2 linked regions of the Caenorhabditis elegans genome follow. The protein of the gene in region 1 purifies or fractionates together with the protein of each later gene. This does not show direct contact. Each region holds a gene or a part of one and is shown in the gene's direction. Other genes may lie near its edges.

Region 1 (7,596 bases):
AAGAAAGATATGCAACAGAATGTGGAATCGTCATTTTTTTCTGAACAATACTCGAAGTTTAATATTCAAATCGTGCATTTTGCAATAATTCTACTGAATTAAACATTTGCCGTTGTAGCGTAGATCATCGCAAATCAGTTGTTTTTCAATTACGTCTGAAAAGTAGAAACTTCCTTTTCTACGAACCTGGTGATCAGGAATGCCCTGGTTTTCTGCTCAACACCTTCAGGTACATGTAAACTGATGCTTCATTTGTTTTCCGTGTAAAGTTTTTGTAGGTGTTAGGTTTCATTCCATGTGATCTTTTGAAACCATTTGGTAAACCCCCAAACAAATGTGTTTTAGTCTTTTCAATTGTATGCTAACATTTTTTTCGAAATGCTTTTAGGCTGGTAGCTCCATTCAATATTTTCCTAATCCTCTGTAAAAAAGAAAGAGAAGAATAGTTTTTTGTAATTGAAAATGTAAGTTTGCCACCTAGTTCTGCAAAATTTTTGATGATTTCTAACTTTTCTTTAGCATTTTTCAAACACAAAATAATCACTTCCTAAAAATGGAAAAATGCTGGAGCTTCAAATAATTATCTATTGACCTTTTTTTCAAGTTTATTTTTTTAGGCTTTGTTTTTCTTTATTTGTTTCAAAATTTTTTTTTTGTTTTTTAGTAATTTTTAGATTTTTAAAGTAACAGTATTAATTAATTTTCAACTATTTTCAACTATTATGTACAAAAACAAGATTTTTGATGAACAGGCTTTTTGATACTCCCAGCATATAATTAATTAAATTCAAAAAACAAATCACGCTATCATTTCCAACTCATCAGATATGAAAAAATGTTTTCTCAATACCGCAGTCTATTAAAAAAAAACGCCTGCCTACCTCACTAGGAAACCAACTACGCGTACCATGGGACCTGAAAATGTGAGCTTAACATCTAACTTAACTTTTTTCCGAAAACTTAAAAGAAACTTGCGGATTTTGGTACTATTAATTGGTGACTATTTTTAAATAATATGTATTATTATTTAGCATGAATTTTCAAATAGCAATAGTATGATTTAACCCAAAATCTAGAATTTCAATGTTATTTTCAGCTGATTAAATTTCGATTTTTTTTAAATCGATTTTTATATTGGGAATCGTGATGCATTTTCATAAAATTGTTAAATTTCAGAAATTTAGTCATGGATAATAATAATTTATAGGTATCGCACACGAACCAATCCCCCGTGTTCAGTTTTTTTGATTATCAGTTGTTCTGATTTCTCTCCGTTCCATTTGTTTGCTCACATTCGAAAAAGCATTCACTCACGCCAAAACGTCAATTTGGGAGGGTTGAAAATGAGGAAAAACAGATATCTCGAATGTGGCTGTTTTCTTTTTTTTTCTTTTGAAAATGTTTCCGCTCCTCTTTTTCTCGTGACCTTTTGATCCATGTTTCTCAAAGGAGAAATTTCGAATTAGCCATCTCTATCTCATAGATGATTTTCGAAACAAGGGGACAACCAAATGTGCGGCTATGTATAACATTGCTGAAGCTGCTCATTTAAAATTCCGCGTGGCAAGTACTAGAAAAGCACTCAACTTCATCTTCTTATTTTTGTTTCTTTTTAAATTTTCTAGCACCCGTCCTGTTTCCGTTTCCAACCCACACGTGACACCACTTTTTGGTCTTCACATATTGTTTGAGATCTTCCCCCGGAAACCAGTCGCATCTAGTAGCAATTGGACTCTGTGCAAACCCGAGAGTTCAGTATTTCTTACTCGTTTCCTTTCTATTGTCCTCTCTTTTACCTTCAAGAAGGTTTTCATTCCACAGCACTCCCACACATGGATATCTATTCTTCTTTCTACATCTCTACGTGAGCATCGCCAATTCCCAAAGTCCCAAAAGTGTACAAATTGGACGTTGATTAGTGGAAATCATACGACTAACGGCTCATGAAAATTCTCTATTTAGTGTCTCACTTTTCAACTATACAAGTTGATTTTTAATTTCTAAAAAATATTGTTTCCGATATATTATTTTTATTTTTGTTCTCTTTCTATGTACAAGTATCAGCATGTTAAACTAGACTCACAAATTGCTCAAAAGAACTAGGTGCAAAATGAAAGCATATATGCTGGAATAATTTTGTTATTCTCAATTACCTAGTCTACTTTACCTTGAAAAAGATATTTTCGGCCAAGTTCCGTTTCTTTTTCCATAAATAAAAGTTTGAAAACCTGGTATCTAATTAAGAATTTGATGGTAGTCTATCAATTTTGTCCTTCAATTTCCATTTTCTTCTATCAAATTTTCCACTCAAGAATTAATGTTTCAGAATGTCGGACTGCGAGCAGATGACAGATATGACCACATCTTTGTGGCTCCGGCTATCCCTTTTTGTGAATCTCGGCATCACGATAATCTCGTTTCCAGTTCTGTTAACTGCTTTACACTATATAAATTCTCAGCAACTGTTTCATCGGAATACAAGGATTCAGATTAAAGTTCACATATTTGCATTGTTGGTTCATTCCACAGGAAGGTGAGTTGTTTTTTGAATTCGTTTGGGAAATAATTGAGATGTTAAATTCTGTCCTGAAAAATTGTTTCTAATTAATGAATTTTAAAATTAATGAAATACTGTAATATTACTTTTTTTTCATATTTCAGTTTAAAAATCTAGGGGACAGTTTTACGCGTTACGCTAATGGTGCGAACAAAAATGTTCGGCGTTCGAAAATGATTTTTTTTTAATGTGGTAATAATCTAGGATATCCTTTTTCAGTTTTATCGTTTCAAATTATCTTTGTGCAAAAAAAGCCAGCACGTGAGACACCAATAATGGTTGCCACATTTTGAACCTCCCAAAATTATTTTTGTCACTCTTCCATTTTTCATAATGATACGCTAGAATGGCAAAAAGAAGTTAGTAGCAATTTGGAGTTAGTCAGTTAAATTATTGTTTTCTAGTATTTGGGCACGTGTTCGAATTTATTAAAAAACGACAGTTTGTTATTTAGGGACTACAAATATTTATATTTCTATATGGATAAACAGTTTAATTTGGTTTTTTTTTTCAGATTTGCTCTTCATTCCCTGGACCTCATAAACTATTTTTCAAATACTGGTTGTGATGCTCTACCCGATTTCTATCGATGTCTTGTTGTTCGAGGACTTTATAACTTTGGAATGGCGCTTGCAGCAATGTGCTCAACAAGTCTTGTCATCGAACGAGCAATAGCACTTCACTATAACTCGACTTATGAAATGTGTGGAAGAGGATTCGGTGTTCTTCTAGGATTTCTTCAACTTTTCCTCGCATTTGCATTCTTGTTTAAACTCTACTTTGATGCCTCATTTACACCAGTCCCAAATGTTACTCTTTATTATTGTCAGACTCTAGCTTCCGGTCACGGATCCGTCTGGACAATTAATGCTCCACTATATGCAGTTATGATTGCTCAGTGTGTATGTAGATTGGCGTTTTGGTACATCGGAGTGCAAACTAAAGTAAGTATCTTTGACATTGAAGAATCAAATAAAATCAGTTTTCAGAGGAAGAGAAACACCCAGAAACTACAAACACTGAGCACTCGGTATACTTTGGAGCAAGGAATTCGATCTATAAAAGCACTGAATATGTTCATTAACGCCAATTGTTTCGTATTTTTCTTTTTCTCGTTTATTGGAACTTCATTACATTTTAATTCGAGTAAAATGAGCAGACCAACGTACTTTGCTCTCGTGGAAGTGATTCATTTTATTCCAACTTATGGAATTCTACTTTCAATTTACATTTATTTTTCTTTGAAAAAGGTAAATCAATTCTAGTTAGAAAGTAATGTTAATCTTAAATTTTTCAGCTTGACTCAAAGCAAAAGACATCACTCACAAAAAGCATGCAGATGGATCCGAGTCGTTATCTGATCGAATTCAAAAAACAAATTGGTTAAGCCACGTACATATTTTATTTTATTTTATTTTTGTTCTGTGAACATTTTCATTACCAATGTATTGTGATAAATGAAGACTAAAAGGTCTTCCTAATTTTTTTTGGAGAACATTTTTTTTCTTACTTTTTCTGTAGTTGTTGCAACAGGAGTATTCAAAGCAATTTGTTTAATTAACCTAAAATTAATTAGATGATAAATGTTGCCAGAAACCCGGAAGTGCAACTTGGAAAATATTATTCAAAATCTGGAACTTGACAATTGTAATAAATTGAAATCACGATGCACTAAACAAATTTGTTACTTAATCTAAAGTAAAAGTTATTTTGATACACAAGGTCCTGAGAGATTTTAAATCACGTTTCCAACATCAAACTTTTCACACACTACGAGTTCGAAGAGTTCGATCTTTGAAATGATCACTACCAATAAAAAATAATTCAACTTAAAAACTAGTTCGGATCAAATCAAACACATACCATCATCAAATATAACCCTCATATCGTCAGATTATCCTTTTCATTCTCCTTCATTCTACCATTTCTACCATTTCTACCATTTCTGTTTAACCGGACAATGTGCCGATTTCTCGTCGCCCTCCTTTTTACGGCAATTTCTGTCTATGCAGGAGCTCCAACAGGTTTGTTGCATTCAGTTTTAGATCTAAAAATAAAATAATTCAGCCGAGGAAGCAAAAGCTGAAGTAGTTGCCGCCGGTGTCTCTGAGGCCGCCGCTGATGGAATTTTAAAGATTGCGGAGACCTACAAGGGCCAATTCGAGGCAGCAAAAGGTGATCGGGAAGCTGGAAAGAATGTTTTTCACACATTCCACGCAGAGGTTGATAAGTACATGGAAACACAATCGGAAGACGACCAGATTGCTTACAAGGCATTTGTTGATAAGAAGAAGGCCGAGCTTCAAAAACGTAACAGTACACCAAAGGCTTAGATAATCATGGAAGATCTATATTTGGTTAATAATCTGCTGAGAAAGTATTTGTCATTTATATGTCTTCTAAAATTAATTATTTGGATAAAGTACTACATATTCAGATTTATATGAAGATAGAGAACCAGGGAGTTTTGTATAATGGTAAAAAATGGCTTGAGTCGAATATTTAGAATTTAAATCTCGAAGCCTTTGCCCAAGGTTTTAAGACTTCTCCCATCACAAATTCAAGCAAAAAGCCCTTCTTACAAAAATAGTTTTTTTTAATATTAAGTGAAAGTTTATGAAACATCTCCACCTCGGGAATGCGGACAGGCGTTTCAAGCTTATTTTTATTTTAGTTTATGATTTAATTTTGTTCAAGCCTTGCATACACCAAATAATGAAACGCAAAAGCGAGAGAAATTTTAATTTTTTAAAGCGCAAATCAATATAGCAGTGGACATTTGTAAGCGCATTCGGAAGCAGCACTTCCGAAGTGGTTCAGAAAAAGGGTTTTAGGACTTTTCGCTTGCTATATCAGTTTGTTTCTTCACGATTTTTAAATAAGTGAATAAATTTTCAAAAAACAAATAACTTCGCATAAAGATGAATATAATTATTTATTCGGATGTCACAAGATTATTCAGAATTAAAAAATGTAACGGAAACAAACGTTCAATACGCTCCCAGTGGTGTTACAGGCTGAAGATTTTGATTTAGTTTCTTGATCTCCTACTTTTGTTCATATTTTTCTATCAAGTTTGTGTCTTGTGCAGTTCATTTGAAAAACACGAAATTTTTTCTGATCGAGATCTCAAAATTGATATCGATGGCGAACAATTTCGGTTCATGCCTTCGGCCCGGTCATCCTATAAAAGAGTCTGATAGAACCAAAATATAATAAGAAAGTTTAAACATGAGAACACTTCCTATTCTTCTTCTTGTCATAGTCGGCGTTGTCTACTGTTATCCATTGAACGAGGACAATGTCGATTTGGAATCGGATGTTGCCGAGATGGAGGGAGCTGAGTTGGACAGAGTGAAGAGAGCAAGTGATCATAAACTTGAGAAGAAGTTGGATGAAATCGTGAGTTACTACCATATTTGATGGTAACTAATGAAAATTCAAAATTTCAGATGGAAAAGGTCGAGAAGATCAAGGACAAGATTGAAGAGAATAAGGAAAAACGTGTAAGTAATTAAAGCGTATTAAAGTTGACTTGGTTTGCTTAAAAATATTTTATAAAAAATTGTATAACACATGAAATTTATGTTTTATATTAATAGTATGTTTTAAACTCATCTTTATTTATTTTTAATTTCAGGAGAAGAAGAATAAGAAGAAGGGAAACAAGAAGGACGAGGACGAGGAGGAGGAAGAGGATAAGGATAAGAAGAAGAAGGACAAGAAGAAGAATAAGGATAGTGAAGAGGAAGAGGACAAGAAAAAGGATAAAAAGAAGAAGAATGATAGCAGCGATGAATCCGAAGAGGAAAACAAGAAGAGAAAGAACAAGAGAAAAAACTGAACAGCTTTACTTTTCATGTGAATAGTAGTTTCTTGTATTATCATTTCGACATCAATAATAAACCTTTGAAATTCTACAAACTTAAATTTATGTAGTAATTTCACGGAATTCGATATTTTAATTTGAATCAATAGATTTGATTTGTAGATGTGCACATTTTTGAGAGGCAAACAATTAAAATTAAATCATTATTTTTCTTTAAAAAAACAGTTAGCAAAGTCAGATTCAATTACTTCTGAAAATGGAGGAAAGGCCAGACTTTGGATCGAACATTAAAAAAAAAACAAAGTACTTTTGGAGTTTTCATTTTTTCATCGCTCTTTAATTTATGTTTTGATAAATTATCCGTTGCGGAACTGAAAAGTTGCCAAAATTTGCGTAGTGAAAATAGGTATTTTTCCACAACTTTGAACCACCATGACTTTTTAGATCAAGAAATGTTCAGAGCGTCTCACTACGAAATTCGGTAATTCTGGCCTGCTTTAGGTCTCAAAACGCAACGTCTAAGATTGCTGTATTCCACCTTAGAAAGTTTTAAAAAATTGAAAAATATGGTGAAACACAACTGCTCAGAACAATATTTAACTGAAAAAAACCTGTTTTGTAAAGTTAAGGTAAAAAAAAACGATCTAAAATTATCCCTTTTATACAATACAGAGCCCGATCTATTTTCTGTCTTGTGCTGCTTATAAAAAAATTCACGACAGTTGCTTCTTGTCATTATATTTTTCAAAACTATCTTCTAGTTGACGCTCAAGAAATCATGGACCTTGAAACCTTGTGTTCTCGGTCAGCTCTAGACTCTCTGTCCAATCCACACTCTTTAAATTTTTTTTTTTGAAAAAGCATTCGTAAAGTATCGGTGGAGTTCAAAAGGTTGAACTATTCGATTCTTGGTTCAAAGTTGTTTTATCGATGTGATTGACAGCTCGAGACCACATAAATAGCACCAGAGAATAACCAAAAATTCAGTTGATCCAAGATTTTTGAATCCGAAAATTTTTCAGAAAAATCATTTTTAGTTTCCGTTTTAATTCAATATTATGTTTCTCTCCGATATTTTTTCGCTAATGAAAATAAATAAATAACAGATTTTTATTAGTATTGCACCTCAAACATTGTTGAAAATTTAAACCTGCATTATCTATTGGTGTTGCACTCAGGTTCAGTTGCGAGAGCCACTTCTATAACACAG
Region 2 (5,953 bases), on another chromosome or scaffold:
TGTACAATACGGAAGCATCGTTAAGGAAAGTCAGGTTAGACATGTCTTCGGTTTTCTCGAATTTTGGTGGATTCATCTCTTGGACAACATCCTTTTTGACAGTCTTCTACAGAAAAAAGCAACATAATAATTGACAAATAAGTGGTTTTAAAATTCACTTACCTCGGCTCCCTGTCCAATGGACACAGTTACATTATCTCCAGCGGTTTTAGTGATGACACCCTCAATGTATCCGTCTTCCGAATCTGGGATCCAGACGTTCTTCTTGGAGTCATATGCGCGGGATTGATCCTTTAAAAATGGAAGTAAAAAAGTGAAAATTTATAAAGATGATTTTTTTTTTTAAACTAAGCAAGCTTATAACATTCTTTAGACAAAAAAACCATGCTTTATAAAAGTACCTGGAGCATCTCCTCGCGACTGCGGCGAAGGTACTTCCATCCTGGGTCGTTTTCGTAATCCATTTCTGTGTCTGACGATCGAGGGTTAAAATGAAAAGTGGTGGAGAGAAGTCAACCGCTCGGTGGGATGCGCGAGCCTGGAGATAACTTTGATTTTCGGCGAGCCCTTCTTTTTCCCTGGGTGGGTGGATTGGGAGGCGGGGATATCCAATTGTAATTCTAGGTAGCTGAAAAGTGTCTGCACACTGTTCTCTAACCATCGACGCAGGAAAAGTCTCTTTCTCAAGTGCAAATAGCAAAAATCTTCTTTCTTCCCCCCCATCTTCCGAGCAAGGCGCCCCCACGGATAGTTGCTCGCTGGCGGTAGGGAGCGAAGAGAGCAGAGAACCTCAACGGGATAGTGGGGATACGAGAAAAGAAACGGCATTTTAGGTTAACTAAAGATAGTGAAGAAGCCGGCTCAATGCAGAGAGGCAGACATCCGACGGCAAACAACGAGAGAATTTTATCCAGAACAATGAGTACAGTGTGTGCGCGCAAAGTGCTCTTCCTGCCATTTTGCTACTCTTATCCACACAACCACTTTAGCGATTACCAACCTATCTTGAGACTTATCTTTATTTTCTCTTCTTTTGCCGACGAAACGGGAGAGAGGGGCAAAAAATGAAGAATCGGGGGCACTGATTAACACACTTACTTTTTTTTAGGCTGAAGCACACATTGCTGTTCGGGGTGTAAAGTTCAGCAGAATTCAAAGCAAAAGACCACCCGCATCGGTAGTCAATATTGATCTGGAAGATTATTAAAAATTGTCAGAGTGAGCCATATGCATATGAATTTAATTCATACATAACATTTATAAGACAGGAATAAATACCAAAGTGAAGTTATTATTTGGTCGATTATCACTTTAGCATAGTGAAAGTATCCCTCAATGTCTCTACTTGTAAACTCAGTTGATTTACAAACGTTGTTTTATTGATTATAAAATTAGTTTTATGGACATTTAAAGCAAAGGATACTACTCAGATATAAAATGTACGACGTTTTCAATACTTTTACATTTCATTTTTGTTCTTGTAGCTTATGGGGATGTCACAATAAAACGTCCACAGCACAAAACCCACAATGTACAAGGTATAATTATGCTTATCAAAACTCGAATTGCAACCTGGTCAGGAGTAATTATTATTACAGACAGTTACTGTCCACCACCCCCAATTCAAATGCCTCGAGACATGTTCTAGTTTATGATTGATAACACACAACTTCCTTCTCTAAACCTCCGCACGCTATTCAATAATGATAACAGTGCCCATATACAAGTTGCTCCATTTTCTCGTACACTATACACAACACAATTATTCTGCGTCTTCAATTCTATCAAAACAAAATCGATTGGCCTAATCGGTTTCCTTTTCTCCATAATCCATAATGATTTCTGAACGAGCACCACTACTTGAAAATGGGTTAGTTTTGTGATGTAGTTGATGTTCGTTTATATCAGAGTTGTGATTTCCTGTGCTTCTATGACGTATTACCAAAGAAAAAACATGAGATCTTTTTGTATTACAGAGTTCCTCACATTTATAATACAGACGAAGGTAGAAAAACCACAGTCACCTATGATAACTTTCATTGCCACGATGAAGCTGACTCAACAGATTCACATGATAGCAATCGGAGAGGTATTGCTTTTAAAATTTCTGCCAAACTCGAGTCCTAATGAAACCTTCTTCAAACTATTTGTTTCAGCAACGCGAATTTTATGGCTCACCGTCGTGCTCTGCCTATTTTTTATGGTTTGCGAAGTTATTGGTGGTGTTCTCGCGGGCTCACTCGCAATTGTCACAGATGCCGCACACTTGCTCACTGATTTTGCGTCAGTGCTCATTTCGCTGTTTTCTCTGTACATTGCAAGACGGCCACCATCGCAAAAAATGAGCTTTGGGTTTCATAGAGCCGGTGGGTAGTTGGAAGAATTGAGCGACATAGTTTGAAATGAATTTCAGAAGTTTTGGGAGCATTTTTCTCAGTTTTCCTTATTTGGATAGTCACTGGAGTATTAGTTGTTCTCGCAATTATGAGAATTGTCAGCGGAGATTATGAAGTAGAAGGAGGAATTATGGCTTTGACAGCCGCTCTTGGAGTGGTTGTAAACTTGGTGTAAGTGTTTTTATGAAACGAGTCTGATAGCTTTATTAACTGGTATACACTTTTTTACTTCGATTTGAAATCGATATTTGGCATGAACTTTTATCCGGGTGGGAGCCCCAGGAATGTTGACATGTCAGAAAAATGTCTGTCCATGTTATTTTCTTTTAACTAAAAATTAGGCTGTCACGGACTTACGGTTTTCAAAGAAATTTTTTTGAGTTCGAAACAAATCTAATGTGACATATGTATCTTAATTGATATTCAAAATCAAAATTTAAGCATGCTTGCATTGTTGTACTTTGGTGGTCATTCACATTCTCACGGAGGCGGAAGCTCTCATGGTCACTCTCATGGTGGTGGCAACGGCGATAACATCAACGTCCGAGCAGCTTTTATTCACGTTCTGGGAGACCTTTTACAAAGTTTGGGCGTTCTTGTTGCTGCCCTTTTTATCTATTTCCAGGTGAGTGTTTTTTTCTCGGCAAACAATGACGTCTTATCAAATGTTCTGTAATTTTTCAAACACAATGGATCACTGTTTCAGCCGTCTTGGGTTATTATTGATCCAATTTGTACACTTGTTTTCTCGGTTATTGTGCTATGCACCACTATCTACATATTGAGAGATGCTATGATTGTTTTATTGGAAGGTCAGTGATACGTTTCAGTGGCAACAACATTTCTAGCTTTTTAGCGGAGTATCAAAATAATGTTTTTTTATTGAAAAAAAAAATAATTTTAAAAATTTTATTGCCTTGAGATTTCAGCAGTTTTGACAAAAACCTGTTTTTCATTCAAATTAAGCAGATTACTCTTTCCTTGCAAAATTTTCAAAATTTTCGAAAGGCGGGAACAAAAAAAACAAAATTGTTTTATTTTCAAAAATTCAGTTTATAATATTATCTAACTTTTTTGAATTCCCAAAATTCTCGCTGATTTCCATAACTTTTAAAATTTTCAGGTAGACCTAGCAACATTGACTTTGCGAAAGTATTTTCGTCCCTTGAAGATATAGAAGGTGTTAAAAAGGTTCATGACTTGAGAATTTGGAGTTTGACGATGGACAAGGTAGACATGACACTCAAAGCGGATTAACCCAAATTGTTTTCCAGATTGCACTCTCCGTACACTTGGAAATTGACGCCAATAGTCAATCTCAGTCAATTCTACGCGAAACTCGAAAAATGTTGAAACAAACGTATAATGTACATGAGATTACAATTCAAATTGAGGAGTTTGGAGCAAATAGGTCGGATTGCGGAAAGTGCGATTTCCCAACAAAATAAGGAGGGTTATGTGATTACATTTTATTATTGAATGAGATTTTTGAATTTTATTTATGTATTTGTTGTCAATTTTTGTTTGAAAAAAAAATGTTTCGACTCCCTGATAAAACCAATAACAGCACAAAAGATATTCTTGTTCATTCATTCCTGTTTCATTCATTCCAGAATTGCTTAAATTTTATTTTCAGATCATAACCTTTTAGATTTTTGAAAACTAATGATCCAACGTTTTTAAATTATTTCAAATTTTCAAAATTCAAAACATTTTGTAGCTATATATTAGACGTAAAACAAAAACTGCACATGTTCTTTTAACAAAACAAATTCCCTTAGAACAACACTATTTATTAACGTTCCCAACTAAAAACTAAAAAAAAACAAAATCAAATATTCAAGGAATTTTCTCGGAAGGTTTGTTTTCCTCATAATAATCGCAGCATCCATCTGAATCCAGATCTCTTTCATATTTCTCGCAAAGTTTCTGGAACATGTCATTGAAGTCTTTTTCAACACGTTCCAAATGTTTATTAGTTTGTTTCCGACTGAACCGATGAGAAAATTCTCCCTCTGCAACCAACGTGACCTGAAAATATGAGTTGAAATTTTCGATGATACAAAGTGATTCAACAAACCGATTCACCGACGTAAAAGTCGTTCATATGACGTAATGCGAAGCAGAATAAAAGACACAGAATTACAACGAGCCAAACGTCGGAGTTGTCACGAGATGCTTCGTTTTCTCTGGAACAGATTCAAAAATTTATTTATTCGAAAACAATTATGAACATATTGGTTCAAAAGAACATTGACGAAAAGTTAAATGTATAAATGTATTACATTTTATGTAATGAATTACCTAGGGGAGTGCTGCTCATCTTGAGCGTTAGCCAGTGTAATTGAAAGGATTATTATAATAAGCAGGCAGGTGAGACAATTGCACAATTTTCTCATTTCAAATCAACTACCGAGGATATGTGGACAATGCTGAGCTTTCGCCATTTTGACATTTCCGCAAATAGTCTCTGACTGTTTATTTGTTGAAGAAAATAACTGATAGGCAACTGAAGTTAAGCTGTTAATTTTTATAGGCTATAATAAATAGAACTTCGAAAGATGGAATACAAACTTTCAAAAATATGCGGTAAAGCACTTTTTTTAATTGATAAAGTAATTGGTAAACTTAAAAAAACTTACTTCAGGGTTGTCAATATTGGCTGAAGAATATTAACTTTCAATCAGAAAGATGTAAACAGAAGTTGACAAATATTTTGAAATGCAAAATTTATTTATAACAATTTTTACAGTACTCAAAACGAAATTGCAATAAAAAAATAATTTTAAACTAGCTTATTTGATTCCACACCTTAGATGCCCTTCTTGTCAGTGTGCTAAATTTTTTTTGATTACTGCCAGAAGTCTCCCAACAGTTTCGAAGTATTTTTAAAATTTGACATTTTTGTAGATTTAAATCAAAAAATAAATATGATTTTCCAAGTTGTCGTCACTATCTTGTTGGCATTTAGTGAAATAAAACTACCGACAAAAAATATGTTCACGTAAAAATATATAAAAAATCAGAATAACTGATATGTTCAAAAACGTTGGTATTAAAGTTTATTGTGCAAAGTTGTAGTCTATGAAATGTTTGGTGATGTCAAGTTTCGGGAAAAAAACCACCTCCGATTGTTAAGTCTAATAATTTCTAATCAATCAATGTGTAAAATTTAGAAATAATTTATTTCAGAAACTTCATGATTGGCAGATGACGTTGTTACCTTCACTGAGCCCCTTATTCCTACGGTAGGTGCTCGCCACGCCTCTTCACACATCTTCTGCGATTGTTTTCGAGTTATCACCAATTTGACTCCTACACTATTTTCCGCTGTATTGAATAACAAAATATCAGTTTCCATCCCAATCAATACTAAAACTGTGTATCCAGTTTGGTCAGCTTCCGGTCAGTTTTGAACATTCTGTCTTTATTGTCCGCTACCGTCCCCGCTCGTACAACATTTTGTGTTTGTCCACAAATTATTGTGATTGCTCTTGTTGTTGTGCGCCCGTGTAAATGCCAATTTTTGTCTGTGTGACTATAAGAATTGAAGTATA

The links.
Region 2: the proteins of spig-10 (region 1) and cdf-2 fractionate together in Caenorhabditis elegans (co-fractionation; one large-scale study listed by BioGRID). This does not show direct contact.

The regions. Positions count from the first base shown.
Region 1 is NC_003283.11:7,001,824-7,009,419, forward strand, and holds spig-10 (Inhibitor_I29 domain-containing protein), read left to right. Parts: upstream 1-4,440; 5' UTR 4,441-4,517; coding exon 4,518-4,581; intron 4,582-4,624; coding exon 4,625-4,890; 3' UTR 4,891-4,995; downstream 4,996-7,596. Other genes in the region: srab-4 (Serpentine Receptor, class AB (Class A-like)), read left to right, coding at 2,328-2,533, 3,072-3,501, 3,547-3,807, 3,855-3,944; drd-10 (dietary restriction down regulated), read left to right, coding at 5,789-5,959, 6,010-6,063, 6,198-6,401.
Region 2 is NC_003284.9:12,462,660-12,468,612, reverse strand, and holds cdf-2 (Cation efflux protein cytoplasmic domain-containing protein), read left to right. Parts: upstream 1-1,695; 5' UTR 1,696-1,835; coding exon 1,836-1,870; intron 1,871-1,976; coding exon 1,977-2,089; intron 2,090-2,156; coding exon 2,157-2,366; intron 2,367-2,413; coding exon 2,414-2,567; intron 2,568-2,837; coding exon 2,838-3,021; intron 3,022-3,102; coding exon 3,103-3,208; intron 3,209-3,519; coding exon 3,520-3,626; intron 3,627-3,670; coding exon 3,671-3,844; 3' UTR 3,845-3,973; downstream 3,974-5,953. Other genes in the region: myo-2 (Myosin-2), read right to left, coding at 1-106, 163-291, 402-464; T18D3.5 (uncharacterized protein), read right to left, coding at 4,236-4,427, 4,477-4,585, 4,701-4,795.